Elephas maximus indicus: one gene and its partner. The main gene of each other region encodes a partner of the protein of the gene in region 2 in a complex. Links are inferred from orthologs where the notes say so. Each region holds a gene or a part of one and is shown on either strand. Other genes may lie near its edges. The genes, in order: ALKAL2 and ALK.

The links.
Region 1: the proteins of ALK (region 2) and ALKAL2 are in contact, whole or in part, in a cryo-EM structure (PDB 9G5I), measured with the Homo sapiens proteins. The link is inferred for Elephas maximus indicus from reciprocal best matches to the Homo sapiens genes ALK and ALKAL2. Residues at the interface, in NP_004295.2 of Homo sapiens: Leu684, Tyr739, His755, Ser758, Leu760, Phe856, His857, Glu859, Leu965, Tyr966, Thr967, Pro968, Leu970, Lys971, Val972, Met973, Glu974, Glu978, Asn980, Val992, Glu994, Cys995, His996, Met997, Phe1007, Asp1009; in NP_001002919.2 of Homo sapiens: Ser112, Lys113, His114, His116, Arg117, Leu118, His120, Asn121, Thr122, Arg123, Asp124, Arg133, Arg136, Leu137, Arg140, Leu141.

What each region holds. Positions count from the first base shown.
Region 1 is NC_064830.1:8,047,853-8,063,473, forward strand, and holds the start of ALKAL2 (ALK and LTK ligand 2), read right to left. Parts: upstream 8,298-15,621; 5' UTR 8,246-8,297; coding exon 7,975-8,245; intron 6,502-7,974; coding exon 6,448-6,501; intron 6,358-6,447; coding exon 6,277-6,357; intron 3,177-6,276; coding exon 3,112-3,176; 3' UTR 3,111-3,111; intron 1-3,110. UniProt on the Homo sapiens protein: Cytokine that acts as a physiological ligand for receptor tyrosine kinases LTK and ALK, leading to their activation. Cytokine-binding is sufficient to activate LTK. In contrast, ALKAL2-driven activation of ALK is coupled with heparin-binding to ALK.
Region 2 is NC_064830.1:49,379,085-49,394,583, forward strand, and holds the start of ALK (ALK tyrosine kinase receptor), read right to left. Parts: upstream 6,099-15,499; coding exon 5,423-6,098; intron 1-5,422. UniProt on the Homo sapiens protein: Neuronal receptor tyrosine kinase that is essentially and transiently expressed in specific regions of the central and peripheral nervous systems and plays an important role in the genesis and differentiation of the nervous system.

The DNA of each region.
Region 1 (15,621 bases), about 41 Mb from region 2:
GACTGCTCAAGATACTTGTTACTCAAACTACATTTTTTTTTTGATATTCGAGAGCTCAGGCTTTTAATTGAACTCACCTGTAAATGCAGAGGAATAAAATGTGTGTGAGAAAGTCTTTCTCTGTGACTTTGGTGACTGTTGGGAAGATCAGTCGGGAACATAAAACCTCTCTTTGGTCTAAGGAGGTCAGCTGATGGGCTTCAGGAAGAATAGGGTAAAGGGATTTGCTGAGATCAAATGAACATGTAGACCTCACTGTGCGAGGACCCTTAAATACCTGCACCTTTCAGCAGATGATCTTATTTTCTGGAGTAAGAAGAGGAATCTTATTCTGCCACTTTGTCATATTAAATTAGTATATGTATTAATATCAAATGAAAAGAGACATTAAAAGTATTTGGGTACAGTGGAGTTGTATCACCTGGCTTACCACCACATAATGAAAAAATTAATTGGTAGCCAGTAAAATACGTGTTGTATTGTCTTTCTCTGCCACCATGTCATTAAGTGATTCGTGTGTGTGTGTCTTATACTTGGACCTCCAAGGTGTCTTTCACTGATGCTTTTAAACCAAGCTGCAAAGGAGTAAACTCTTGAGTGTAGCTGTATTGTTGCTCTCAGATAGAGGAGTGACTAGCCAGTTAAAACTTTGTTATTGCAATCTTAAGCCTTTGGAATTAGAAGAAAATGATTTAAAAAAAAAAAGAAGATTATCAAAGACAGCAGAATTATTGGTGTTTTACATTTTACCAATTTCTTGGCCAAAACGAACACAGTGACTGCCAGTTGTAACAACCGTGGCTGTCGAGTATGGTTGCCTTATGGGCATAGGAACTTCTGACACCACCGTATACTTATTATTAATGTATTTTCATGAATATATTTTATTGTCCAGTTAGAGTCTACATTGGTGATGCAAGATGGGGAGGTGATGCAAAGGCTTGTAGTGTTAGTTACAATGCCATTCCCCAGTGCAGCATTTACCCTGGATGCCTGATAGGGTACTGCCACCCCCAAAACTAAACCCATTGCTGTCGGGCCGACTCCAACTCACAGCGACTCTACAGGACGGAGGAGAACTGCCCCATGGGGTTTCCAAGGAGCGCTTGCTGGATTCGAACTGCCGACCTTTTGGCTAACAGCTGTAGCACTCAACCACTATGTCACCAGGGTTTCCCAATCTTGGCAGTAACTCCATATTAGCAGAAGTTCCACTGATTACTCTTGCTACTTTAACTAGAGTTATCTGTCTCTCCAGGAAAGACAACTGAGGGGTTGGTCAATTAATTGGCAAAGAAATAGGAAGAATGTAGACAGCACCCATTTTTTGTGGATGTAAAAATAGGGTATACATTTTCTCCCATTTGTAAGTAGACAAAGTTTTATTCCAAGGATGTGCCTGGTCTGTCTCTGGAAGCTGTGGTGACTTAATCATGAGGGAACACTTAACATTCTCATTTTCCCTAGCACCCCACCTTGGGAGATTTACAGGAATCTGCATCCTTTCATTGGTTTTAAAAAAGAAAAAAACGGAAACTTTTCTATGTGCCACGTGAGCAATGGACTAGAAACTGAACAATACTAAGAAACGAAGGCAGGAGATAAATTATACCATTTCTTAGTTTTGACTGGCATTAAAAGCCATGTTTTCATGTCCCTCAAAAAGTTCATAAAAGTTTCATAGAACTTGTATGAAATGTGTCATAGTTATCCATTAACACTTTATAGCTTGGTTCATTCTCCCAATTTCATTCCCCTCATTTACTACTCGTTCTTCTGATGCCGAAGAAAATGGTGTGAAGGATGAGGTTAATCATACCTGCCATGCCTCAAGTCAGCGTTTATTCTTACATGCCTAAGGCAGGGGCCGGGGCTTTGCCTCAACATTCATCCAGTGCTATCTAAATATTTATAAGCATTGCTTTTCTTTTCCACAGTGAGTGTGTGTGTATGAGAGAACTACTCTTTTATCCATTTTACATGAATCAAACTAGAGTAACTGCTAGAGAAATGCAATATAATATCCCCCCCCTTTTTTTTTATTAATAACTTCTGGTTAGCCGATAAGTTTTCTGGGAACCAACCATTAGAGGGCAGGAACCATGTCTTATTTACTGTGGTATATTCAACATCTGGAGTGCCTGCCTGGCAAACACAAGACATACAATAAGTATAAACTTGGCGAAACTGAACTGTTGCTGTCTAAAGTGACTGAATCCCAGGGCATTTATGTCAGGAATATAAAATTATACCTTTTTAGTCCATCTGGCATGGACTGCAGAGCCTATAGTTGGTGTTATACGTTTACAGATCAGCCGTCAACTGGCCCAAGTAAAAATTAATTCCTAAACTCTTGATGTGTGTTGGTATTTTTACTATTAGAGATTATGCCAATATAACTGAAAGAAACATTTAAAGAGGATAGCTATTCTCTATAAGCATACTGGCCTAATGATATAATCAAACTCCAACACATTTAGCAGTTGTATCTATAAAATTTGCATGGATAGGTTAATGTGCTCAATTATGAGTGTGAGTGAGTGAAATCCTAAAAGCGAATGAGGATGGTTTTAAACATGTATGTACTCTAATTTATGCACCAAGCCATGTGCTGGAAGTAGTTAGCTACTGTGCTGTGTTTGCAAATAACACGTAACCCATTGCTGTCGATTCCGACTCATAGAGACCCCATAGGACAGAGTAGATCTACCCCATAGGGTTTCCAAGGCTGTAAATCTTTACAGAAGCAGACTCCCACATCTTTCTCCCACGGAGCAGCCGGTAGGTTCAAACTACTGACCTTTGGGTTGGCAGCCGAGTGCTTCACCACTGCGCCACCAGGGCTTATTAACATATATACTCAGTGCCAATTATATCATTAGATGAAAAAAGCCTAATGGCTACCTGAGGTATGTCTATCGGCCAGGAGCGGGTACCTTTTATTTATGACCAACGTTTTGAGATTTGTTGAGTGTTGCATCAACCTTACTCAAAGTGCTACTTGTGCCAAAGAATAAGTCTTTCTGAACTCCCATGAATTTTCCATGTCCCCAGTGGGATTCCAATCCTTGGTATGTGTGCCCACACAACTGTGCTGTCAAAGAGCTTACCTTATCCTCCCATGCACACTGGACTGACAGCCAACCGGGTCAGAAGCCTGGCACATCTTTTATAGTCTGTCGCGGAAATAAATCACAGACAGACACCTGTCAGTTACCTGAGCAACACTTCCTGATAAAATCAATAACGAGGTTTTTTCTTTTCCTTTTTTTTCTTTTCGCAAGTATATCAGTTATTGAAGCCATTTATTTCTTTAAATATTCTGAGTTTTCTGGAAAACTCATCTGCTGTCAAGGGCTCTAAGTTGATGGACTAGTTTTTGGAACTCCTGGGGCTGCAGCATCACAGGCTGAAGTTAACTAACCTGACTAGGGGTGGAGGGAAGGAAGGGGGGTAAAGGCTGAGTCTACCGCACAGCAGCTCTCTCTGCCCCCTCTCTTCTCTCAGTGGCTATCAGAGCTCACTGAAGTAACATCAGTTTTTCCTAGGACACAAGGAGGTAGGGTCTTTCCATACCTTTGTGGTACCTAACTTGTAGGTCACGTGCAGACTGAGTCCTCACCTGACGTGACCATAACATAAAGCCCTTGGCGTTAAAATTCTAAAGTGGGCCAAAGGGCAAGTAACAGAGCAGAGAGACGTAGACTAGATGACTAAAGGAAGGAATGGGCCAGTTCTGAGAGCAGGCTGATTTTCCTTCGTATATAATTTCCCGTTTGACTATTTTGATAGGTGTTACTGAAAATAAGTGAGGTCTAGCAATCATGGCCATAAGGGAATTTTCTTAGCATGAAATTCTATGGAAGGCTGCAGCAGTTGATAGATTTCTAAAATTTCTCAAGAGCAGCAAAATCCTGCACAAAAATGGAAGAGTTCATACTTTGAACTGAAAATCTTAATGAATGAGTAAATTGACAACTATCAAAAAATGTACACAATACGTCAAACAGATAAGTAGCTAACTCTACTTCTAAAAATCTGCCTTCTAAATATGTAGAGTACAAGTTAGCTTGGGTTCAAGGGAGAAAAATGATCGAGGTCATCTGGACTTCTGGCTTCGTGGCTCTTTTTTATCCACTGCATCACAGTTTTTAGAATAAAATTACCTTAAATAGATCATTTAGCAGGGAGATAGGGGACTATGTAAACCCAAGTGCTGAGCTAATCAAAGAATTGCAACTACTTTCCATCTGCAACATGCCTGGAAATCCTGAGATTGATCACATACTCCCACTAAACACGAATGTTCTCTAAGGCAGTGATTTGCATGCAGGTCATCTGAGAAACTTACTAAAATTCAGATTTTGATTCAGTAGGTCTGGGGCGGGACTTAAAATTCTGCCTTTTTAACAAGGCACCAGTGCTGTTGGTCCTGGGATCCACACTTGAAGTAAGAAGGCCCTGTGGCTCCTTTTCAGCTCTAACATCCCAGGATTCTATGCCTTTCCTTTTGTATAGCCTAAAGCAGTACAGAAGTGGTCTGACTCAGCTCTGCAGCTCCTGATGGCGTAAGGAGAGGTGGAAACCCAGTTAGCAGGCACCCATCTGAGTGTACAGATCTGCCAGGGGTCCACCTCTGCATGGCCCGGGGTGAACTGTCTTCCTTTATGGATGGCCTTGGTATCTATCATGAAGCCAAGTGACCACTCAAAAGAGGTAGCGTACGTGGCACGCAGGGTGATGTATTAGAAAAGGATCGACAGTCAAAACGTGAGGTTGTTCTAGTTTAGCTAAGATCTGTGTGACAGTTTAAACCTTTTTAAGTCGATTTCCTCATCCAAAAATGTAAGGATTAGATGTAATGACCCCTAAGATCGCTTTCAAGTCACAATTTATGACTCTATTATTGTAAGACTGTGTTTCATATAAAAATATATAAACATTTAGTAATAAAAATAAAAAGGTTTTCTGACTCCAGGAAGCAGGTTAATAATTCTCAAGCAGAAGGAGGTTCCACTTTGAAGGAAGGAAATAAGGAAGCCACGGTGTAGTAGGCACATACGGTATGAATAAAAAGGTGAGTCTGAAGCCATGCTGGAAAATTATGGAAGCAAGGCTGCTTAGGAAATGTTTGCAGCTTGCCTTGGAGTTAGAATGGTGTAGTGATAACAGCGTGACCAGATAGGCCTTCATTTGAATGCCACGTGTTCCCGCTTGCTTGTCATGTGGTAGGTTTCACTTAACGTGTGCCAGTGCCATGTGTAAAAGGATAGTAATTTACTGGGCCATTGGGACAATGAATTGATAGGGTGTTTGTGACTGCGACTCGCAAAGTCCCTGGTACATAGTGATGCTCTAGAAATGAGAGCTGTTATGATCTGGATTAATTTCCCTGACTTAAACAGAAAAAAAACAACTACTTCATGGAAATTGGCTTTTTGGGAGGCAGGGCAGGTTAGTCTGATCTGCTGGCCCCCTCTGGATATTCTCTGAAAGTAGTTACTAAGATATCTGGTATACTTGTAAGCCTTTTCTCTGGCCAGTCTTAAAATGAAATACGAGTTTTAGTCCCTATGAGAAAAATTGGTCTGGGGCCCTATAGATACCACTCCAGCTAATAAATCACTCGTTACTGTTGGGCGCAGTGTGACGAGCGTGGTGAGCCCGTTTGGGGGAAATAAAAGGCGTTTTGCTGTGAATAGATGGCCAGAAGGAGCAGGTTGAAGAGAACCACTGGCAGCCAGAAAAGCAGGGTTTTGAAATAGCAATAAAATTCCCAGATGATGATGACGTAACTACTGATGGAAGAAGTCTCTGCTCAGGGTACTGGAGAAGGTCAAGGAAGTCCGACCAGAATGCTTCCGGTTCATCTGCTTTTTTACTCTCCAGACTATAGACTCGGCAGTGGCCATTTTACCAATCCATTCTTAACCTTGTTTATCATACTTCAGCAGATACAAATACAGGCATCATCCAGAATTCATAATCAAAACAAGAATGTGAATTACAGAAGCCTATTCCAAGGCTTGATGAATTCCAATGAATGTAAATAATTTTCCATTTTGTCACAAGTTTTGCTGTAGAATTTACTTATCTTCTTCAGTGGTCTGGATACCCTGGTCCCTAGCTCCATAGTTAAGAAGGAACACATATTAGCAACCACGAATTTCAAAGGAAGGGGCCTATCTAATGAAAGGACATGAAGTATATTTCAGAGAATCACTCGTCTGCCCTGTGCCTATATTTATAAAGGAATTTACAGATGTTGTCACTTACATGCAGGGATGGTGCAGTCTCTGGTGTTGTGATAAAGTCTATGGAAATGTTTGCTGCACTTTGGGCTAAAATAAAGAGGACCTATAACAATGAAGAAGAAAACAGATTATAAGGATTCAGGAAGATGCAAAGGAACTTAGGGAGAGGTGAAGGAATGAAAAGAAAACTTACCTGTAAGATGTTTTAAAAACTTGTCCTTCATCCTTAGATCTCGGGGGACAATTTCTGTTTCCGGGGGAAGAAATTAAAAATGAATTGTCACATTGCCTGAAAGAAGCATTTTTGTTCTCATGTAATCTTTAGCTCATGTTGAAGAAAGTTATTGGGAATTCTGCATTAGCCATATTCTTTGCACTAAATAAAACAGACTGGAGCCACCCTTGATTGTTATGTATGACCTAATGTGAAAACTTGTACTCGAGGACATACTGTTCTTCAAATAGAATGAACTACTCGCAAACTCCAATGTTATCTGTCCAGTCTCTACCATCTGGATACGGGCAGCAATCATAAAGTTACAAGGTGAAGGTTATTTCTGACAGTGAGCTTCCAGTATAAATCACTTTTAGAAACTTTTATCTTGCAGAGCTTGGGAATCAAATCTCAAAACCTCCCTCAAAGTTCTAGGAAGAGAATCTGACCCTTCAAACAAAAAAAATTTTTATAGGATTTACTTTTTCCTGGTATATATTTAGATAAAGGATTAAATGCCTTCAAAACCACCTGTTAAGATGGCTGATGTAAATAAATTGAAATATACATTAACCTTGTTTATAAGATAAGCATACATTTCCCAGGAAAAGACTCTTCCAAGCAATTCTCCTTTTAAAGCATCTTTTTTTTGGCACTTGTAAACAGTGGTTTCACAGACATTCCTTCTGGTCTCAGCCTTTGTGCTTTGTTTATTACAGTCATCTTTAATCATCTTCACTTATCTGTTCTGCACTGATAACTTAGCGATGATGGTATGTGATGCCACACTTTATTTATCTTCCTACAAATCCTTAGCTCCTTCCCACATCTCATCTGAAGGAACGTTTCCCTTAGAATCCTGCTCACTCGCAAGGTCTAGATACCTCTCTGATGTCAGTCTTCATTTACTCCTAACTTTAGTCATTCTCTATAAAATTGACCCTATCATATTTGACCTAATTGTGTCATGAAAAGCATTAAAGCTTACATGCTTTCTTCAGAAATTTCCCATGGGGCAGTCACTCTGGGAAAGGCTCTACCGAAGGGGGAGAACTCTGAAACATTTCTCTTTCAGCTGCAACTGCTTTGCTGAAAATATTTCCATTTCCAAAATAACAGATGACAGACAGTTCTATGCAGAAGTTACTGCCATTGGTAACAATTCATACATCTTAGAAGTGGGTTAGTTAGGATTGTCTGTGAGGCAGCTGTACGTAAATCTTACTATTTTCCGTTTCTTTGTAAAAATATTTCCGAGTTTTGTTTCTGTTCTTTTAACAATCGGAATTGATTTCTCTTTTTAAAATGTGTTTTCTCAAAGACACGTCTACTTTCAACCAGATACAAATCTTCTAGTGCCTTCTTTGGTATGAAAGTTAGATAAACACAGTCAAGATCGAAGCTGTTAAAAGTAGTCCATGGTTATATGTGTCTGTGAGCGTGTGTGTGTGTTGGGAGGGGTGGGGGAGACTTGACATAAATAACGTAAAGGAGGGGCCGACTTACCAACTCTTTGCTCCTCAGGATAAACTCCGTAGTCAGTGACCTCCCTACGGCCCAAAGTATAGTCATGTTTGCTGAAAAATTGCAATCTCTTGTATTCCCCCAAGTGGTATTTTTTAAGTTCTTGAATGATCTCCATGATGAGGTTTAAGAGAGTCTGTCTGTCTGTGATTTCTCGAGATTCTGTTCTCCCTCGGCACGGTCCCACCGTCACCAGCAAGAACACCAGCGCCAGGAGGACAGGACGCCTCGGTCCACTCATGTCAGTTTGCATAGGGTCAGGATGGTGCGTTAAGTTAGGAATGAAGCAGGAAAAAAAAAATCCAACACCCTCTCCGGGATCTTTGTTTACTGAAAGAAAGGGGTGGGGGGAGACAGGGAAAGAAAGTCAGGGTTGTTGGGGGAGGGGAGAATACACTCAGTGAAACGCTCTGGGCTGGAGAACCCGGGAGAGAAAAGGGGCCAGATCCCCGCTTATACTGCGATCAGACCCGGCCACCTGGCGCTGGAACGACCGGTTTACGCAGTCCTCCAGGCGCCCCTCCGCGCTCGGCACTCCCGGAGCGCGGCTCTCCCCAACCCCGCCTCACTGCTCCGGGCGAGCCTGGGAGCCTCCAGCGCCCCGAGGAAGGGCACCCCTCCCGGCCCCGGGGCCGCACCGGGGCGCTGCGGGGCGACTCCGCGCTGAGGCGCGCGGCCCAGGTGAGGCGGGAGCGCAGAGCCAGCACTGCTCCACCGCGACCCCCGCCCGGAGAACCCGCTCCACTGCGGGAAACGCGCTACCTGCGGCTGCGATTTTAAACTTCGGCCTCTCTCTCGCCCCTTTAACGCCCTGGCTGCCAGGACTCTTCCCCCGTTTGCCACTCTCCCAGTGTCCCATCGACTCCGGGCGAGCCCTCTGAACTTTTCGTATGAATTATCCTGTCCGATCCTGTATCACAGCATATCAACGGAACCTTCTATTATTATTATTAAAAAAAATGATCCTCTGGGCGGCTTGTCTGTCTGTGGGGTGAACACTTTAAAGTTGTTTGACCCCTTTTCTGCTTCCCTTACCTCAAAAAAAAAAAAAAAAAAGAAAAAAGAAAAGAAAGCACATGCAGTTTAGTGATCCTGCGCCCAGTTTGGGCTCCTGCAAATAAGTTTCTAAATCAATGCCTTTTTTTTTGGCCCGGTTGGGTCGCCGTCCGGGGACCTGCAGTGGCGACCGCGCCCTGGCGGAGCCCCTCCGGCGGCCCCGACTCGGTCCCGAGGCGGAGGAGGCACCGCGCGCCCCGAGCGCTCCGCGGGGAGCCGGCGCCGTGCAGGGCACCCAGGTACCGGGAACCCCGGGAGCGGGCAGGGAGGCTACCGCGTCCCCCACCCCAGGCGCCCTGGCCCCGGCCCTGTCGGCGACCGCCAGTTCTCGAACCCCGGGCAGGCGACGGAGGGGACGCCGGCCGCGACGCTCTGCGAAGGACGGCCAGGGCCACTCGTCTGTCGGTGCGGGGCCAGGCGGCGGGCGCGGGGTGCGGGACGCGAGCCCCGGCCTGGGAGTTACCTGCCTCCGCGCCCTCGGAGCCGCCGACGTCTGTCCCGACGTCTGGGCACTGTCCCCGCCGGCCCGGAGCCGCCGCGCGCCCACTACTCCATGGCCCCGGCGCCTCGGCTTATATAGCTTATAGGATGCGCGGGAGCCGCGGTGCCCGGTGACTCGGCCAACTCGGGGAGGCTGGAGAAGCACAGGCGCCCGCGCGGCCGCCTTCCGAGGGCGCGCTGCGGCCCGAGTGTCCCGGGCAGCTCCTCGCCGCGGGCCAGCTCCGCCGCCTCTTATTCCCGCGCCTGCACACGTAGGGCGCGGGTCCCCCGGGGCTGCAGGAGCCGGAGTCTTTAATTAGAAGCGCGTTAAGAAGCCGCTGAAATATTCATACCCTTTTGTGTGGATCTTCGTCAGACCCCCCCCCGCCCCAATCTCTCCCTCTCCCCAGCCCCCCCTTTCTCTCTCTCAGTCTATTTCCCTCCGTTCCTGTCACTTGTGACAGGATGAGAAGAAACGCCTTTACCAGGAACTTGGATCTGTTTTTGTCTAAATGTAGATCTTGGGGCTATTAAAAAAAGGAGCGGCTGCTTGATTGCCTCGACATTTAATAAGTCAATTAAAGTCTATCTATTTTGGAGGGATCAGATGGTGTCGCTGGGGAACTACTCTAAGGACGCCGAGACGGTCTGCACCGTCCTAAGCCCCGTCCCTGGGCGAGTGCCCCCTCCCCAAGGCCGCTCTTCAAAGAGGGGTGGGGGCAGCAACGAGGGTCAGTGGGCTTGAACAGAGGCCAAGGGAAAACACAGTAAAAAGTGCAGGAAGCTTGCGGCTGCAACAGCTACCTGACAGAGGTATGTGCAGGCGCCCCCTTCCTCCCCGCCCTACATCCTCTTAGGAGAACGTATGTTACCTGTGGCTGCGTGAAAACAACGCACGCGACTGCTTTGTAGAACCCCCAGACATCGGTCCCTTTTGGAGACTATACTGTCCCAACCTGCCCTGCCTTTTTGCATGTTAATCCTTATTTTAAATTCTCCAGCAGACTGACCGTTCTCTCCCCTCCCCTCTGAACAGTCTGCAGGAGAGAAATCTCTGACAGATCCCTCCTTGGGGCACTTGCTTCCAGGGCTAAGTAATAAAGTTTTGGCTCTTTGACTGTAGGCAGACACAGCTGTGAGAATTGAACAATTTACCTCCTTTAATTTTTTTTTCTTGTAAAATGTATTACCAATCAATTGAGCACTTTCCCATTTTATTGGCACTTTCTGGGCAAGAGCTGGATGCCCTCCAAGAAAGCGGATCTAATTGGGAGAGGTGTTCTCAGTACAGTACCAGAAAGGGAGAGTATGGGCCAGAATTAAAAGCCCTCGCCTTTGACAGGGGTGGTGGCACAAAGGCAAAGACGCTAAAGATGTTGCCCGTGTTTATGTGTGCATGGACTAAATAGTTCATTGACACAGGACAGACTTTTAGATGGCTAAATTTTCCAATAGCTCTCCCTGTTTTCTCTCTCTTCTCTTCCCTCTCATTTCCTCTCTCTCTCCTTCCCTTCATGCTGTTTCCTTTTGAAGAGAATGTATTTGGTGGATTGGGGTTGGGGTCGGTAGAGTAGAGATGGAAGATATTAAAATGTGATCATTTAAACCCCCCTCTATTTTGGTATGGGTTTATATCCTGCTCTCTTGAAAGCAACCCGTTTTGCTTTCCCAGTAAACATTTTTTTCAACCAATATGACTAAAATGTGACAGCTTCTGTTAAAATATACGCAAGAAAAATACAAATTCATATCAAATAGATCTTACCCAACAAATAGATCTTAGGCAGATGAAATATATTTTTCCTTTCCCCGTTTTCTCCTTTCTGTATAGAAAAAGAAATGGAAGCTCCTTTTGCAAGAGCGCCGCCTAGTGGCAAACGCTTGCCTCCTGCTAATACCGTTCCCAGGTCTCAGTCGGCTGCCATCTTTTAGCCTGGCCCCTGTAGGGCGCACAACTTCAGTTTCCAGTATAACAGAAGCATGTTTTAAATATTTTGGTATAAGACTGTATTTGGGGAAAAGATCTTGCTCTGGTGAAAAAAGCAAACAAATTAGACCAATCCCATGTTATTTTAAATTTGCTTAGAATCTTTGATTTCTAATAGTGTTTTACTAAACCAAAACTAGATTTATTTAAAAAAATACCAATAAGATATATCCCTCCCACCCAAAGTTCCACCAACCAAGAAAGTGTTGCCAGTCACTAGTATTACTCCTTTTTTTTTCTTTTGCAGTTTTTAATGGGACAAATGGATTCTTTCTGAATAAATCTCAGGTCTCCTTTCCACTGCTCAATTGTATATGCCAGCACTTCAGCCTAACTCATTAGATACTTTCATGCATAAATGATGAGGACAGAATTGGTCCTTGGTTGGTGTTTGGATTCATGAGACCTGGCAGTTAAGAGTCAGACAATTCATGTGTCGATCCATTCATCTTTGCAAAGGTCTGGGTGGAAATGACCCCAGGTACTTCTCATTTTATGTAAAAGAAAATTTATGGACTTTTTCAACTTGCCCAATTAATGGAAGAGTGCACCGTTTTATAAATCTGTGCCAGAGTTTTCAGTTTTTGGTATTTTCGGGGTGAATTCCTTGGAGTTTTCCAAATGCCATAAATGTATGGATTGCGTGAGTTGTTAACACGGCCTGATTAACTTAATTGTTTGGCTTTGCTGGTTAAGACAAAGGAAAGCACGTACAAGTATACGTGAAGATGTGGATTTGTGTATGATAAATCACTTAGTCTTCAGTTTCTTTTTGTGTAAAATGAAATGGTTGGACTAGACAGCCTCCAAAGTCTAAAACTGTGTAATTCTATGATTGTTGCCAGAAAAAAGTTTGAAAACAATAAAATACAATGTTTCCCACAAAAAGTTCAAGATAATTCACTTGAGACCGTCAATGTGAGTTTCACCATCTGTTTTCAGGCAAGAAGAGGTGATATGTTCAAATTAAGTAATTTAATTTCCTCCTTTAGTAAGTGTGCAATTTCTACTGTAAGGGTCTAAAAGCCAAAAAAGATAAGAGAGAACATTAAGCAACAAACTACATGCTAGGACTACTGGGGGAAAAAAAATATTTTGCTGGATTTGATTCAGTTTTGCATCCTTCTTGAGAAAACTGTATAGCGTCACAGGAAAAAAATTAACTGGGACGAGGCAGGAGGGGTTAAATCGTGTTTTTTCTACTTTTACTGTACATCTGTGTCATGAAATGAGCAAGTTACTTTTTCAATTTATCAACAGTATAAAGCTCCAACATTTCAACTGCAACCATTTTTCTCTTTTCCCAATAAGGTATATATGTTTTATGTGAGATGAATAATCACTGTCAAAGTCTTCTAAAATAGACACATATTAACTATTCAATGGATCGGTGTATTTGTTCAACTATTATGTTAAATCATTTAACAATCTAACTAAACACTTATTAAAGAGAAAAATCATTGTCTTTTATAAAGGATAACTAGGTGGTCTAAAGAAATACTATTCAAGATTAAACTTTTACCAATTCTGTTATATTTACTGTCAATATCTTATTAGTATGCTAGCCATGTACCAGAATAGGTTTAAAATATTTAGGAAGACAAGCTCTCTAACAGACCAGTCTTTCTAGAATAAATGTAACAAATGTAATGCCGTATAAGTAATAACATACACATGATATCTAGCAGTCAGTCCTGCTGTTAGGTGCCATCCAGTTGATTCTGACTCATAGCGGCTCCATGTACAACAAAATGAGACACTGCCCAGTCATGCTCTGTCCTCACAATCATTGCTGTGTTTGAGCCCATTGCTGCAGCCACTGTGTCAATCCGTCTCATTGATGGTCTTCCTCTTTTTTGCTAACTCTGTGCTTTACCAAGCATAATGTCTTTTGCCAGGAACCGGTCCCTCCTGATAACATGTCCAAAGTATGTGAAAGGAAGTCTCACCGTCCTTGCTTCTAATGAGCATTCTGGCTATACTTCTTCCAACACAGATTTGTTAGTTCTTCTGGCAGTTCATGGTGTATATTCAATATTCTTTACCAGCACCATAATTCAAGGCATCAATTCTTCCGAAATACAGTGTCCAGCTTAATTCTTCCCTCATTTATAGAGGAAGCAAACTATTCTAATGTTAGTAGGTCACTCATTCTCTTCCCATTCCTTGACACACGCTCTCATGCAAAACCGCATCACAGCATGTGTTCAGAAGTGATGTGATCCAAAGGCTTTGGATAAGGTCTTCACATACTCTATAGCATGATTAATTTATTGTGGCTCTGTTATTATTATTTTTTTTTGTCCTATGGCCAAGCCTAAGAGCATTATTCATAGGGCAAAAGCTTAAGGGGAAGTATAGGCTTTGTCTTATTTGTTCAAAGTGGTTTAGTTATAAAATCCAACCAGAGGGGAAATCTCAAGGCACTTGGACATTTATTTACTCTTACCGACTCATCAATCAAGCACCTTTTTGATGGCAACAGAGAGAATAAATTTGAATGTGCACACCCGTCATCAATATGTTAAAAAAAATTAAGAAGGTTCTCCTATGTACTGAAAAGCCTGTCTCAAATCTATGAACAGTCAGATCCATCCATGGGAATATCTGAACCAAATGTAATCATGCATGTTGAGGAACAACACTACTATGCCTACAGTCCATCTGTTTTCTGGGTATTTTTCTGCAGGAGATTCCATACCCTGATAGAAAATTTTACACGTTATGTTCTGGGCCTATGCAGGTATTTCCAAAATTCCCTAAAGGTGCCGTATACCAAAGATAGTCACTAACAAAGTAGTATTTTTTTTTTTTTAGAGCAAGTTAATCACTCTAACAAATAATCTATAAATTTTAGTGGCTTAATAATATAAAGATTGATTTTTCTCTAGTTATAGTCTAAAACATGATGAGGGGCTGCTTCATGAAGTCATTCAAGCTCTACCCTTCCTAAGGACCTATGAGTTCTTCACTGGATCCTTGGCGTTTGGCTTGAGAGGGAGGGAAGAGACAAAGTGTGTAAGATTGAGTGGGAAGTGTTATGAGCCATGCCTGGAGGTGGCTAACATCACTTCCTTCAACAGTCTATTGGTGAATACTCTTTAGTGAAACAATTCCAGGCTATTCTTTCACAATGGGTGGGTTCAAAGTCAATATGAATAAGAGGAATGTGCTTTCAGAAAACTTATACTTGTTATGGCGTTTTCTTTTTCTTTAAGCAATTCGAGAAAAATTAGTACTCAATTCCTGAACCCTGGCCAAGGTTTGGAGCCCTGTTGGTACAGTGGTTAAGAGCTGGACCAAAAGGTCTGCAGTTTGAAACCACCAGCTGCTCCTTGGAAACCCTATGGGGCAGTTCTACTCTGTCCTATAGGGTTGCTATGAGTTGGAATCGACTTGATGGCAATGGATTTGGTTTTGGCCAAGATTTGGGGGCACTGTATACCAACAGATAATTTTCATGCAAAAGAGACTATTGATCATTTTCCGTAGTGTTCTTTCCCCTCCCCCCATCTCCACTCATAAAGTAGTAGGAGTACCTGTAACTCAGGATAGAAAGGAGTTCAGCAACACTTCCTTACATCTCTGGAGCAACTCCCAGTTTCAGAATTTATGATTTAGTCATATTGATGTATTAACAAGTTCTTGCCTACAGGACTTTTACTACTCTTTTTCCTGGCACATCTTTCTTTCCTTCCTTCTACTCCCTGATTTCATTGACTAACTCCTACTCACCTTTGTTCTCAGATGAGATACCGTATCTTCTGGGAAATCCTCCCTGTCTTTCATAAACCCAGAGTTGGTGCTCCCATTACTTCCTGTGCTTATTTCTACCATAGCATTAATTTCATTTATTCCTTTTAGCTTTTAGCATATCCTAGTGTATGGATAAACCCTGGTGGCGTAGTGGGTAAGTGCCACGGCTGCTAATCAAAGGGTTGGCAGTTCAAATCCTCCAGGCGCTCCTTGGGAACTCTGTGGAGCAGTTCTACTCTGTCCTATACGGTCGCTATGAGTCGAAATCGACTCTACAGCACTGTTTTTTTTTTTTTTTTTTTTGTGTATGGATTCATTTTTTTTAGTGTATGGATTCAATTGTGTCCCGC
Region 2 (15,499 bases):
TTTCTGGAAATGACAGGCCTCCCATGGTAAGACAATAGAAACTATTACCCTGGTCACACTCATCATTTTTCACTGATCCATCTATCATCTCTTGGAAGTTAGAAGTTAGTTTCATGGGAAACCCACAGTATTCTAACTGCTGCTATGAGCGTTATGGCACCATTCACATAGACTAAAATGTATATGGAACTCTTGGAGTTGTAGAGTATGTAACCAGCCTAACCATATCCAGAAGTCCTGAGTGTTGCTGCTACTAGAAAAACACATAATGGTTCATAGTAATGGAACACTTTATTATGCGTCAGGCAGTAGGCTCAGCATTTAATCTTCAAATAACACCTTGAAATAGAAATTTTTACTATCCCCATTTTTCTCATGATGAAACTGGGCCTCAAAGATCTTAAAGAACCTTTCCAAGACTATGGCAACTGCCCGCCAAATATTTGTTGGATGTCCTTCTGACAAGGATAATGTGAAGTTTTTATCTATTTAAAAGCTTGTTGGTTGTTTGTAATATGCACCTTGAGATAATTCCCTTAGTGAAAAGAGCCCTAATTTGAAGGCAAGGAGAACTGCAGTCCTAGTCAGTACCTAGGACAGTATTTGGAATCTCTTAACCTCTCAATACATAAATGAAAGTTTCTAGGTTATCAAACATCTGGGTTCCAGTTAATCCATTTGTAAAATAAATCAAATACATCCCTGCCTACTGCATAGCCTTGATAAAAATAACAAATGTGAGAGTGCTTTATAAATTGTAAAGTCCCATACAACTGTAATAGAATACTAATAATGGTTATAACATAAGGCAAAATGTCCTTTACAAGTCAAACCGGAAAAGTTTCTATGAAGTGAGGTTATCTGGCAGTAATCCTAAGGACAGCAGGGCACCTCAACTTCTGCTGACTCACCCCTCACTCTCTTCTCTTCCCACCCACAGTATACTCCCTCCTAACCTTCAGCAGACCAACTTCTTTATGGAGACATTTATTTTTATTAATGGTAATGCTCTCCTTCCATACTCCACACCACATACCCAAAACCCACATGGATCTTATTTTTCTTTTGTAAATTTGTGAAATGTTCAATTGGATGTGATTGAAGTTCTTCTTTCAGATGTCAGTATCCATTCTCATCATGTCAAAGGGTTTTCAGGCAGGCAGCGTGTGTCTGCCAAATCTAGAACTGATCAATATAGAACTAAATACTTCACTGCCATCTTATCAAGACCCAAGTCACCTTCTGCCCCACCCAATGATTCGATGCTACACATGCCTATAGATGTATCTTAGATACATAATGCTCTGGTAAGTGTGCCTGCCCATAGGATATACAGATGACATAAAGCACCCCAGAGAAATACTATATGTTTTTAATCAAAGTATTTTGATGAGTGGGGGGAGTAAACATAGTAATTTCAAAATATTTTTTTCACTAACAATCTTCTTGTAAGCTCTTCCCAACACCTTCAAAGATAATCCACAATTCTTTTCTTTTCCCCCTGGAAACACCAAAGCCTCTCAGGAATTATATCTCAAAAGATCCTGATTCCTGCTGCTGTTCCCCATCCCAGCTCTCCTGTCAGTTGTGTCTTCTCAACATTCCAAAATACAGAGCTGATTAATTATGAATGCTGTGGCTTGTCTGACCCACATCTTACCTTACTCCCTGCTCCCTTGGAATTCTTTTCCATAGTCAGAGGAATATCAATTTCTGAAAATAAGAAGGTTTTCCTGATATCTAACCCGAAGTTTCCTTCTACAAGTCTCATCCTATTACTTCCATGGACCACACTAAATAACTCCTCTCCTTCATTGCCACTCTCCCTCTTCAGAGATTTGCAGATTGTTACCATGGCTTTCCCTTTATCACCACTTAGCCCAGCCATATATATTTAATTATTTTCATCTATCATCATAAATCAGTCCCTTCAACTCTTAAATCAGCTTTCTGCTCTTCTCTGGACTAGTTCCAACTCACCCAATTCACCTCCAATAAATGATATCTCTTTTGGGAGCTCCAATTTCCCCTCTATTTTCCCTTGCTCTCTCCACCTTCTCCAGAAATGAAATGAGAAGGGACTGACAGATATGTGAGGTCAAGGGTCAGGTGTACTGCATTGCACACATCTATTCTAAATAGCTCAGGCCTCCCCATAGTACACGTAAAGCCCAAAGCCATATATTCCTTTTCCTGGAGTGGAGAAGGGGGTGTGCTTACAAGGAAAGAGCCCATACTATCCCACAGTTCATCATCCTCCAGACCTCTGCCTGGGGTATGGGAGAAGCAAGAACTCAAAATACTTACAAAACAGAATACAAACCAGAGATACAGGCAATGTGTTAACCTCAAGACAGATGTTATTTCCTGTGATTTGAGCTGTCCCAGGAGGGCATATCACCATTCATACAGTCCTAGAAACTGCCTCTCTACCTCTTCGTCATGAATGGATACTTTGGGGAACACTGATCCCACTTATGAATTCAAAGTAACCCACAAAGAAAAATCATTAGCACATCATGTATTATAATGCCTCTCCGACATCTTTTTGTCCTCTCAGAGAGCCCAAACCACATGTAACACAAAGGTATTGATTTGCCCTAACTGGATGCTTTTCCACTTTTACCACATCCCTAGTCATTGTTCTGCTCAGGTTTAGGAAGCTATCTTCAGCCTTTCCCAGGCCCCTCACCAAAAGGGATGACAGGACAACTATGTCTTCCACTCTCCTGCCCACGAATAGCTCCATCAGCATGATCATACACCTCTAGGCCAGACCACCAGTCATTTGAGCAGAAACATAGCTGAAGATCCCATGTCACGGAAGAGTTAAATATCTTTTCTATAAATCAGGGCCTATATAAAGAATAAATCCATTTTCCTAAACATGATAAATAGAAAAATCAATCCAAGTGGCAAGACCTAAGCTTGAATTTTCATACAAGAAAATTAATAAGATCACAATGATATATGTTTCTCCAAATGAGAAACATGATACAGCAGGGTGTGTCTACTTCATGGGGAAGACTGCACTGGAGACTGTATTTGGATAAGGCTAGGGTGGCAGTGGTAGTAAGGCATAAGACCAGTCTTCCATGGCCAGCTGCCTAGCTGCATGCAGCTTATGTGCTCAGAGACAGGGAAGTCCATTCTGTTCCAAGTGTGATCACCTCGAGGCCCAAAGTGTTTTTCAATAAGCTTCCTGTCTCTCTAGAGGTCATGGGAAGTTCATCCAGTTACACTTAGTGTCTTATTTGATCTCATCAATAATCATTTGATCCCCATCCTGTTGAAAAACACTTGGCCAAAATTTCCAGCCTTTTAATGGCAGAATCCTGGCTCTTTCTGAAACCAGTCCTACTAGATGTGTCAAATGATGCATAAGGGCTTGGTCCAGCTGCCAAATAGACTGTACTGCTGAGAGAAGGCTTGGGATGATCACAGTGCTTCTCTACTGCCAGTAGTGGAGCAGCTCTTGGGGTGTGCTCCTTTCTACATGAAACACCCCCGATCAGCTGCTCCAAATCCTTATCTAAGACTTGACTGGAGTATATTCTTCAAATGCATTAAGCAGTGACTCTTCAGAGATGCCCACTGATAACTTCATGCAGAGCTTGGCTGTTTATTGTAGGCAAGTTTAGGGTTGCAGAAAGGACCACTGTTGCCTTTCACCAGCATCTGGCAACAGTTGACATAGGTTGCTGAGGCTTATGGTCATTTATCAGGGGATGATGGGGGAAGGTCCAGTGATGCTCACAGACATGAATGTGAAAGGAAACCTACATTTCCAGAGAAGTCATTTTTATACCCATTACAAAAACATTGGGAACAAAAAGAGAATGTTTTATTATAAACCACAGAAGCCACAATGACATTAAAGCCCATCTGTTCTTTGCAAAGCTATTCTTGATAAGACAACAGTATTGGTCTCCCACCTCAGTCCATAGAAGGAACTAGCAAACTCATCAGACCTTGTCTCTTACTCTTACTATGAACTACATAAATTTCAGCACTGGCCAACAAAGGGTCATTTTAGGTGCCAATGCCATTAATGCTAATGGTGAAATATGCATCCATATTGTTTTCCTTAAATACCACATGCCCCTATGTTTTCCGTGTAATGACTATGAAACCTCAGCTTCTGAATATCCCTGCTGCATGAGAGCATCGGGTGTGTGGGGGAGTTTCTGTGTGTGTCAGGACAAGCATGGGAGATACTTGTAGCTCTACAATGGGCATTTTTCAATGCTTTCCATCCAATTAATGTTAGACATTAGTAACCCGTGGAGCATAAAAATTTCATTTATTTCTGACGATAAGAATGATAGAAAAGAAACTGGATTTGCTCAATGGAATTAGTGCAGGTTTTTAAAATGCATGATTTCTTTTTTGTGCTTTCCTCACCATTTACATTGTATATTTTATTCACAAGTCTTTCCCCAGTGATCTTACAAGAGAAACATCCATTCAAAACCACTTGGTCTTCCAGTCAAAGGATACTCTGGGACGAGTTAGAAGTACGTACTTGCACCAACTCCTGCAACTCGATAAATACGAGAAGAAAATGAGGGAGTAATGAAACAGAAACCTCATTTCAGGAGTCTTCAGCAGAGAGCTCTGCAGTGAAACAGGGCTGCCAGAGACTGTCATCGAGAGCTACTGCTGCAGACGTTTAAGGTAAGAATACACAGGAAAAGAGGAAGGTGGGGAAAGAAAGGCTGGAAAACTAACTATTGTCTCTCCCTGGTCCACAGTAACTCCCCCAAAGACAATCTTGTCAATTTTCCTCTCTCTCTGCACATCTCCTTCCTCTGAGGCTCTCCCAATGACATCGGAGAGAAAGAATGAAAGTTCGAGAGCAGATAGTAGGCAGGAGAGTGGGGTAATGAATTAATAAAGAAGAGGTAATCCTTGGAAAAGCCAACATTTTGGGGGACAGTTGGACAGGATTCAATAATATGGCCAGAAATTCTATATTCCCTGAGAAACTGTACTGCATTCCCAAAATCTGTGGTGACAGGGGGAGAAAGAAGGGCAATAGTTTTGAGACACAGAACTAAGCTTGGAACCTTAGAACTAATAGCAATATGTCAACCGTCCCAGGGGCCCAGGAGGAAGGGCATCCAATTTTGGCTCTGACCATGTGTAAGTGGGTAGAAGGAGGCATTCTGCCAAGAGCAGGAAACTCCCCCCCCCCCCCCGCCAACTTGGTTTCTAAAGAGAAAGGAAGGCCTTTGGGAAGTGACGGCATTTAGGGAGAAAACAAGAAAATATGGTGGAACAGGGGAAAGAGGTTTGTAGAAAGAGGAAAGAGGGGTAAAAACCAAAGGCTTGGATTGGAAACGAGGGTTTGTTAATAGTGATTGCAAATTGGTGTGACTAAAAAACCAAATCCCGGCACCCTCAGGCGGGAGCTGCTCACCGGTCTCAATGATCTGGAAGAGAAGGCGGGGCTGGGAGGCGCGGATCGCAGCGGACAGTCTTCCCTCTCTGCCCACTTCCAACGCCTTCTTCTCGGGCATCAGGCGGATTCTCAGCCGCCCTTCGCCGTGGAGAATCCACCAGTTGAACAGCTCGCTGAGGTTGAACTGGAGCAGTCCCTCAGCCCCCTCCTCTGGGAGCCCTACGCACCCCTCAATAATTGTCTCCTCGCCCAGCTCCAGCACCAGCTGCTTGGCTCGCCGGAGTTTACGCACCGAGCCGCCCTTCAGCACCCTGGACAGTGTCCGGGCTGGAGCCGGGGAGCCCGCGCCTGCAGTCCAGGATATCCCGGGCGGCCGCCCCAGAAGCCTAACTAGAGGGGCGCAGTCTAGAGCCAGCGAGCCGCGCGCCTCAGGCCGTCCAGCCCTCATTTCTGAGAGGAAAGACGGTGGCAGCAGCAGGTCTCTGGCGTAGACGCGGAAAAGCGAGGGCACAACGAAGTCCACCGCCAGGCTCTTCCTCTGCAGGCGAGAATAGCTGAGCGGCTCCCGGGGCTGCAGTGGCGGCCCCACGGCGAGTGAGCCCGCAAACTGGCTAGTCCCGGTCCCGGAGCTTGAGGCCGCCGCAAACACCGGCTTCAGGGGCAGCAGCAGCCACAGGAACCCAATGGCACCCATCCCGCCAAAAGGAAGCTGTTTATATTTGTCTCCCGACTCTCCCTCGCCCAGACCAGTCCTTCAATTCCCCCCAAGTGGGAAGAGTCTCACAAGAGCCCTTGGCCCTGAACGGCTTCTTCCACCTACCTCTGAGGGATTGGGCGTGCACTGGACCCTCTCTCTCACTTTTCCCCAACTTCAAGGATGCAAGCAAGAATCTGAGGGAAATGGGGCTGGCAGCTCAGAGGGGGTTCCAGAAACCCTGAAGCGCGCTGAGCTCAGCAACTAGGACCTTGTGTCGCGCCCCCGTCTGTAGCTCGCTGTGCTCCAAATGAGAGAAACTACGAAGGTTCGAAGGCAGGCGGCAATTGGGTACCGTCCTCTCCTGCCCCCAGGGGCCGGAACCGGGTTCCGTCCGCTCTCCTGCCGGCTTCCAATCCTCCGCAACTTTCCGGAGCTGGTGCCCGCTCTCCTGGCCGCCTCCTGAGTACCCCTCGGCTCCTCAGCGCTCCTTTCCCCTCCTCTGGGCGGGAATCGAGGGCAAAGCTGCCTTCTAGCTCACCCTCATCTGACCTTCCGCAACGGGAAGCCTTCGGACTGCATGCCCGGTGAACTTCTGGGCTTGAGTGGGAGCCCTAGCGCCGCGGAGCCGAGGCTCAGGTCACCGCCGCGCAAGTTTGCAGCGTCCTCGTTCGGTTCCTCGGAGTTCGCACCGAGGCGGCCCCGGCGGCAGCAGCTGAATGAAAGCATTCAGCGCAGGGGAGTCCGAATTGCTGCCCCCTCCTCACCCATCGCCAGGCTCCGCGGCTTTGGGTGGCCTGCCAGAAGGCGGCCGGAAGGCGCTTTGATGCCCCGCGACCCTCAGGAAAGCGGCAGCGGGAGGTATCAGCTGCTGGGGCCGCTGCCTCCCCCGGAGCCGCTGGATCGCATCTGCCTGGCTGCCCGCCACTTGCAGCTGGCGGGGCCGCGAGCGCGCGCCTGGAGGGGGCGGGGCCGCGGCGGGGGCGGGTCTCGTTGGCCAACTCCGCGCCACTGCCCGGCCCGCGCCGGCCCGCTCCGCCCCGTCCGCGCCCGTCGGCCAATGGCACTTCCAGACCAGCTCCTATGCAAATCTGTAGCACTCATTGAGAAAAGCACAGAGCCCGCCCCTCCCTTCCTTTCTCCCTTCCTCCCTTTCCCCTCCCTTCTCCCTTCTCTTCCTCCAGATTCCCTGCCCTATTTCTCTGTTGTGTGAACAGTCAGGGGGTGTGATTTGGACAAATGGGAGGACTGGAAAAGGCCTTTGCAAACAAGCGCTCTCCCTAATTATGCATTTGGGAGATTAAATGGTTCCGACTTCAAAAAAGCAGGTTCCGGAATAAAACTGGAGGCGAAGGGAAGGGAGAGGGGAGGGGTGACAGCGCGACGTTGCCAAATCCAAGAACAGCTTGGATTAGGTCCCTGAGACAGAATCTTCTTTGACCCTTTCATTATTTGAATGCACCTTCCACACAGGAAAAGTCTGCAGATTGAGGGGTGGGGGAGGTGGAGGTGGCGCGGGTCTTACAGTTAGTTGTTCTTCAGTTACAACAAATAAATTTCAGAGCTTCAGTCAGACGCTCTCCCCCCGTCCCCGCCCCCCGCCCCCCCCCGCTTTTTCTCGCAAAGGTGCCACCTCCTCTAGTCCCTGCAAGATAAATATTTTTAATGCTGTCTTTACAAATGCGAAAACTGAGTGGCAGTGAACTTGATTGATTTTCCCTGAGTCACGGAGCCATGTGTGGCTCCCAGCCTCTCACTCGTGTGCTCTTAACCACTGCTCTCCCATTCCCCTCCATGAGCAGTTCTGCCACACTCCTCCACAGTCCCCTCAAGGAAGACCTAGGGGCGAATTTGCTGGAAGGAGGAAAGGCCAGGTGCTCTCACAGCCTTGGGAGTGAGAGTTCAGAATCCCAGACTTTTTGACGTACTGTGAAATACCTCTGATCTCTTTTCCCTCCCTCTATCCCAAGCTGCCAACACAGGACACAGACAATGGCTGTGTTTAAAACAAGAGGTTCACTAGAACCATAAGCAAGACTGCAATCTTTGGTTCACACGAATCCCTCCGTTCCTCACAAAGGTTCATTCCAGGAGTGGTACCAACAGTCAGAGCTCAAAATGAGGCAAGATACTCCTTCCACGAGTTCACAGCCTGGCAGGCAGTAGAGGAGCCTCCTCATAGAATCACTGGGCTTCGGAAGGGGACAGTGACTTGACCAGGGCCCTACAGGAGGTGGCGGCCAAGCAGAGCCTCTGCTGTCCCAGGTGGGTTTTTCTCAGCATGGTGGCATTGACTTTTGGCAACTGGAAGATCTAATAACAAAAAGAATACCAGTTCTCAGAATGACTTGTTTATGGCTCTATGTTTGGCAACTAGCTTAATTTGACAGGCATCTGGCCTTTTCCTGGAACTAAGACTGGGTACACTGATTTTACAAGCTTAAGGGCAAAGAATTATCTGACCCAAGGAGAAAGTACTAAAATATAGGCCCTTTTGTCTCCCACCCCACTCATCTCTTAATTATATAATTCTACCCCCAAGCAAAATAAGGAGTATTTTTCAGGATTTATAAATCCTCAGCTGCAATCAATGGCCACTAGGGGGCTGCAGAGACTTGCAACTCCAAATGAGCCACCAGGTTTAACAGTTCCCTGATGATGTCCCTGAGCTTTGCACCTCATGGACTCAAGGGACTCCATGAATCCTTCCACTTCTATAAATTCTGTCAAACTTTCTCAACGAAGAGACAGATGCTTTTCCCTGTAGATTAACTCATACTCAATCTAAAAGGTTTTGCTTACCTTTTTGTTAGATAATTTTAAAAAGGAGGCAGAGATGAACATTTATAGAATCTATCAGGCTCCATACATATGCATCTGTAAGTATGTATGTGTGTGTGTGTTACAGTGACCTTTTGGGACAAGAGCAGCCCAGAGAAGTTTCCTCAAGTCAATTCCAACTCATGGTAACCTCATGTGTGTCAGAGTAGAACTGTGCTCCATAAGGGTTTTCAGTGGCTGCTTTTTTTTCAGAAGTAGATCTTCAGGACTTTCTTCCTAGGCAGCTGGGTTACCTTATACCATTGCCATCTAGAGGACAAGAGACAGCACAGTGGAATAAAAAGCAAACGGGGGAAATGGAGTGAGAAAGATCAAGTGTGGGCAACTATAGCTAGCATGTCTTTGTACATACTATGTGCCAGCATATTTTAAATAATTCTTGTGCATTATTGGATTAATATTCACAGTAACCCTACAAGGTGACATAATATTGTTATCTTCATTTTACGGATCAGTAATTGAAGCTCATAGAGGGCAAATGCCCAATAGCAAGGATGCATAAGTAATAAGAGTTACAGCCATGATTTGAACTCACATATCTGACTAAGAAGCCCATCACCTTAAACTCCTAATGACCTTTGCTCTGAATGAAAATGGAGTATGATTGAGCAGGCTGAGAAGGACAGAGGTGAACAGAGGAAGAAACCGAAAGAGCGATATGGAGGGAGATGCACAGAGTCAGACACAGAAGGTACTGGAAGCCCTGTGGAGACAGTTGAGTGAAGTGGACTGGGTAACCCTATAAATGACTTAGGCAGCTAAATTGGGGGCAGGGGAAAATGGCTAGACCTCATACTGGGAGAAGAACAGCCAAGGAGGGCATTGAAGCCACCAAAACCCTCCTCAGGAAATTCCTAATTTCTGGAAAGGGGGAAGTGAACCACTCAAGCAAAGAGGATGGGTTTGAATTCTTCTCTATAAGGGGAGCAGTAATAAAAATGGCATTTCAAATCCAGGCAATGTGACTACAGACAAAACGTGACTGACACCTTTAAGGCTAATTAAGTCAGGCACTCACTTGATCAATAAACATTTCTTCAGTACCTACTATATACAGGATGCTGTTCTAAGCTACAGGAATAATGCTATGAACAAGAAAAAGACTGCCTAACCTCTAGAGAGTTACATTACAATGGGTGGGAGATAGACAATAAACATTCAAATATGTTTACCTAAGATAGTCAGAGAAGGCCTCTTTGAGAAGGTGAAATTTGAGTTAAATTTTGATTGGTGGAAAGGAGGCAATCATGCAAAGATCTGGATATAGCATTCCACACAAAGGAACAACAAGTGCAAAGACCCTGAGGTGGGAATATGTTTTTTCTCCCAGGGGACTGCAAGGTCAATATGGCTGGAGCACAGTGAATGCTAGAGTTGAAGAGGTCTAGATCATTTAGGGTTGCATAGGCCATTGTAAAGAGTTTGAATTTTATTTTGCTTGCAATGGGAAGACACTAGATAATTTAATGGAGAAGTCACATGGTCTGATTTATGCTTTAGACCCTTTCTGTCCAATATGGTAGTCATTAGTCACATGTGGCTATTGAGCCCTTAAATTGTGACTAGTCCAAATTGAAATGTGCTGTAAGCATAAAAAACACACCAGATTTCAAAGAAGTAGCATGAAAAAATATACAAAATGCCTCATTCATCATTTTTCATATTGATTACATGTTGAAATGATAATACTTGGATATACTGGGTTAAATAAAATATATTATTAAATTGATTTTACTGATTTCTTTTTTAATGTAACTACTAGAAATATTGTTTGTATTATTTGTTCAGCATACAGATTAAATAGGTATGGTGAAAAAATACAACCCTGGTGTATGCTGAACAAATAACACGAGAAGCTGGACTATATGAAGAAGAACGGGGCATCAGGATTGGAGGAAGACTCATTAACAACCTGCGTTATGCAGATGACACAACTTTACTTGCTGAAAGTGAAGATGACTTGAAGCACTTACTAATAAAGATTAAAGACCACAGCCTTCAGTATGGATCACACCTCAACATAAAGAAAACAAAAATCCTCACAACTGGACCACTGAGCAACATCATGATAAACGGAGAAAAGATTGGAGTTGTCAAGGATTTCATTTTACTTGGATCCACAATCAACAGCCAGGAAGCAGCAGTCAAGAAATCAAAAGACACATTGCATTGGGTAAATCTGCTGCAAAGGACCTCTTGTAAGTGTTGAAGAGCAAAGATGTCACCTTGAAGACTAAGGTGCGCTTGACCCAAGCCATGGTATTTTTAATCACATCATATGCATGTGAAAGCTGGACAATGAATAAGGAAGACCAAAGAACAGTTGACGCCTTTGAATTGTGGTGTTGTCAAAGAATATTGAATATACCATGGACTGCCAAAAGAACGAACAAATCTGTCTTGGAAGAAGTGCGGCTAGAATGCTCCTTAGAAGCAAGGATGGCGAGACTGCGTCTTACATACTTCGGACATGTTGTCAGGAGGGATCAGTCCCATGAGAAGGACATTATGCTTGGCAAAGTATAGGGTCAGCGGAAAAGAGGAAGACCCTCAATGAGGTGGATTGACACAGTGGCCGGAACAATGAGCTCAAGCATAACAACGATTTTAAGGATGGCGCAAGACCGGGCAGTGTTTTGTTCTGTTGTGCGTAGGGTTGCTATGAGTCGGAACCAACTCAACGGCACCTAACAACAACAACACTAGAAATATTGTTCATATTATATTTCTATTGGACAATGCCTGGTCTTGGGCAAGGATTTAACCTCTTGGGCCTTATCCTTCAGCTGTACAGTGGATTATAACCTCTTTCTGACAAAGTTGATGTGAGGATTAAATACGATAGCACATGAGAAATTTCCTTCCCAGAGCCTGACATCTGATAAGTCCTTGCCAAGGTAAAAGAAGAAGCAATTATGATCAAATTTCAAAAATGAGGGTCAGGATTGGAATGTGTTCTGGCTGAGGAAACCATGTGCTATATGGACCTGACAGGGACCAGGCTGACTAAGGCTTTCTGGCTACCTTGGCATGAATAGATTAAACTGGGAGTGATCTGGAAAATAAATCTGAGGTTCCCAGGCATCACAGAGAGACAGAAAGAGGAGACACATAAGACATAATGGTGGAAAGAGGAAAAACAAAACAAGATTTCTTTAGAAAGGATGTCTCTAGTCATATATACATTATACTCTAATAATCCTCATGCTGAAAGGAAAGTACTTAAATTTATTAAATATTAATTCAGTCATTACTTACTAGACCTGGTGGTGCAGTGGTTCAGAAATTAGCTGCTAACTGTTTACAATAGCAAAAAGCTGGAAGCAACCAAGGTGTCCATCAATGGATCAATGGATAAATAAATTATGGTATATTCACACAATGGAATACTACGTATTGATAAAGAACAGTGATGAATCTGTGAAACATTTCATAACATGGAGGAACCTGGAAGACATTATGCTGAGTGAAATTAGTCAGATGCAAAAGGACAAATATTGTATAAGACCACTATTATAAGATCTTGAGAAATAGTATAAACTGAGAAGAACACATACCTTTGTGGTTACGAGGGGGGGAGGAAGGGAGGGTGGGAGAGGGTTACTTACTGATTAGTTAGTAGATAAGAACTACTTTAGGTGAAGGGAAGGGCAATACTCAGTACACGGAAGGTCAGCTCAACTGGACTGGACCAAAAGCAAAGAAGTCTCTGGGATAAACTGAATGCTTCGGAGATCAGCAGAGCAAGGGCGGGGGTTTGGGGACTATGGCTTAACGGGACTTCTAAGTCAATTGGCAAAATAATTCTATGATGAAAACATTCTGCATCCCACTTTGAAGTGTAACATCTGGGGTCTTAAAAGCTAACAAGCGGCCATCTAAGATGCACCAATCGGTCTCAACCCACCTGGATCAAAGAAGAATGAAGAACACGAAGGTCACACGAGAACTATGAGTCCCAGAGACAGAAAGGGCCACATAAACCAGAGACTTACATCATTCTGAGTCCAGAAGAACTAGATGGTGCCCGGCCACAACTGATGAGTGTCCTGACAGGGAGCACAACAGAGAACCCCTGAGGGAGCAGGAGAACAGTGGGATGCAGACCCCAAATTCTCATAAAAAGACCAGACTTAATGGTATAACTGAGACTAGAAGAATCCCGGCGGTCATGGTCCCCAAACCTTCTGTTGGCCCAGGACAGGAACCATTCCTGAAGACAACTCATCAGACATGGAAGGGACTGGACAATGGGCAGGAGAGAGATGCTGATGAAGAGTGAGCTACTTGTATCAGGTGGACACTTGAGACTGTGTTGGCATCTCCTGTCTGGAGGGGAGATGGGAGGGTAGAGAGGGTTAGAAACTGGCAAAACCGTCACGAAAGGAGAGACTGGAAGGAGGGGGCAGGCTGACTCATTAGGGAGAGAGTAAGTGGCAGTATGGAGTAAGGTGTATATAAGCTTATATGTGACAGACTGACTTGACTTGTAAACTTTCACTTAAAGCACAATAAAAATTATTTAAGAAAAAAAAAAGGTAAATAACTGGGAGCTCCCAAAAGTCAAACACGTATGCTCATCCAAAGGCTTCACCAAAAGAATAAAGAGACTACCTACAGATTGGGAAAAAGTTTTTAGCTATGACATTTCTGATCAGCGCCTGATCTCTAAAATCTACATGATATTGCAAAAACTCAACGGCAAAAAGACAAATCACCCAATTAAAAAATGGGCAAAAGATATGAATAGACACTTCACTAAAGAAAACATTCAGGTAGCTAACAGATATATGAGGAAATGTTCGTGATCATTAGCCATTAGAGAAATGCAGATCAAAACTACAATGAGATTTCATCTCATTCCAACAAGGCTGGCATTAATCCAAAAAACACAAAATAAGAAATGGTGGAGAGGCTGTGGAGAGATTGGAACACTTATACACTGCTGGTGGGAATGTCAAATGGTACAACCACTTTGGAAATCAATTTGGTGCTTCCTTAAAAAGCTAGAAATAGAACTGCCATACAATCCAGCAATCCCACTCCTTGGAATATATCCTAGAAAAATAAGAGCCTTTACACGAACGGATATACACACATCCATATTTATTGCAGCACTGTTTACAATAGCAAAAAGATGGAAGCAACCAAGGTGCCCATCAACAGATGAATGGATAAATAAATTATGGTATATTCACACAATGGAATACTATGCATCAATAAAGAACAGTGAGGTATCTGTGAAACATTTCATAACATGGAGGAACCTGGAAGGCATTGTGCTGAGTGAAATTAGTCAGTTGCAAAAGGACAAATATTGTATAAGAACACTATTATAAGAACTTGAGAAATAGTTTTAACTGAGAAGAAAACATTCTTTTGTGGTTACAAGGGGGCATAGGAGAGGGGCATTCTGTAATTAGATAGTAGACAAGAACTATTTTAGGTGAAGGGAAAGACAGCACACAATACAGGGGAGGTCAGCACAATTGGACTAAACAAAAAGCAAAAACGTTTCCAGAATAAACTGAATGCTTCGAAGGCCAGCGTAGCAGGGGTGGGGGTCTGGGGACCATGGTTTCAGGGGACATCTAAGTCAACTAAAAAAAAAAGTCAACTAGCATAATAAAATCTATTAAGAAAACATGTTGCATCCCACTTTGAAGAGTGGCATCTGGGGTCTTAAACGCTAGCAAGCAGCCATCTAAGATTCATCAATTGGTCTCAACCCACCTGGATCAAAGGAGAATGAAGAACACCAAGGACACAAGGCGATTACGAGCCCAAGAGACAAAAAGGGCCACATGAACCAGAGACTACATCATCCTGAGACCAGAAGAACTAGACGGTGCCCAGCTACAACCAGTGACTACCCTGACAGGGAACACAACAGAGAAGCCCCGAGGGTGCAGGAGAGCAGTGGGATGCAGACCCCAAATTCTCATAAGACCAGACTTAATGGGCTGACTGAGACTAGAAGGATCCTGGTGGTCATGGCCCCCAGACCTTCTGTTGGCCCAGGACAGGAACTATTCCCAAAGCCAACTCTTCAGACATGGATTGGACTGGACAAAGGGTTGGAGAGGGATGCTGGTGAGGAGTGAAGTTCTTGGATCAGGTGGACACTTGAGACTATGTCGGCATCTCCTGCCTGGGGGGGAGATGAGAGGGTGGAGGGGGTTAGAAGCTGGTGAAATGAACCGAAAAGAGAGAGTGGAGGGAGAAAGTGGGCTGTCTAATTAGTGGAAGAGTAATTGGGAGCGTGTAGCAAGGTGTATATGGGTTTTTATGTGAGAGACTGACTTGATTTGTAAACTTTCACTTAAAGCACAATAAAAATTATTAAAAAACACACAACCTAAAAAAAAAAAAAGAAATTAGCTGCTAACCAAAAGGTCAGGAGTTCGAATCCACCAGCTGCTCCTTGGAAACCTTATGGAGCAGTTCTACTCTGTCCTATAGGGTCATTATGAGTTGGAATTGACTCAACAGCAATGTTTTTTGTTTTGGTTTTTTATGTGCTTGGCTTTGCTGAGCTACTAAGGAAAAATATTGTGGTG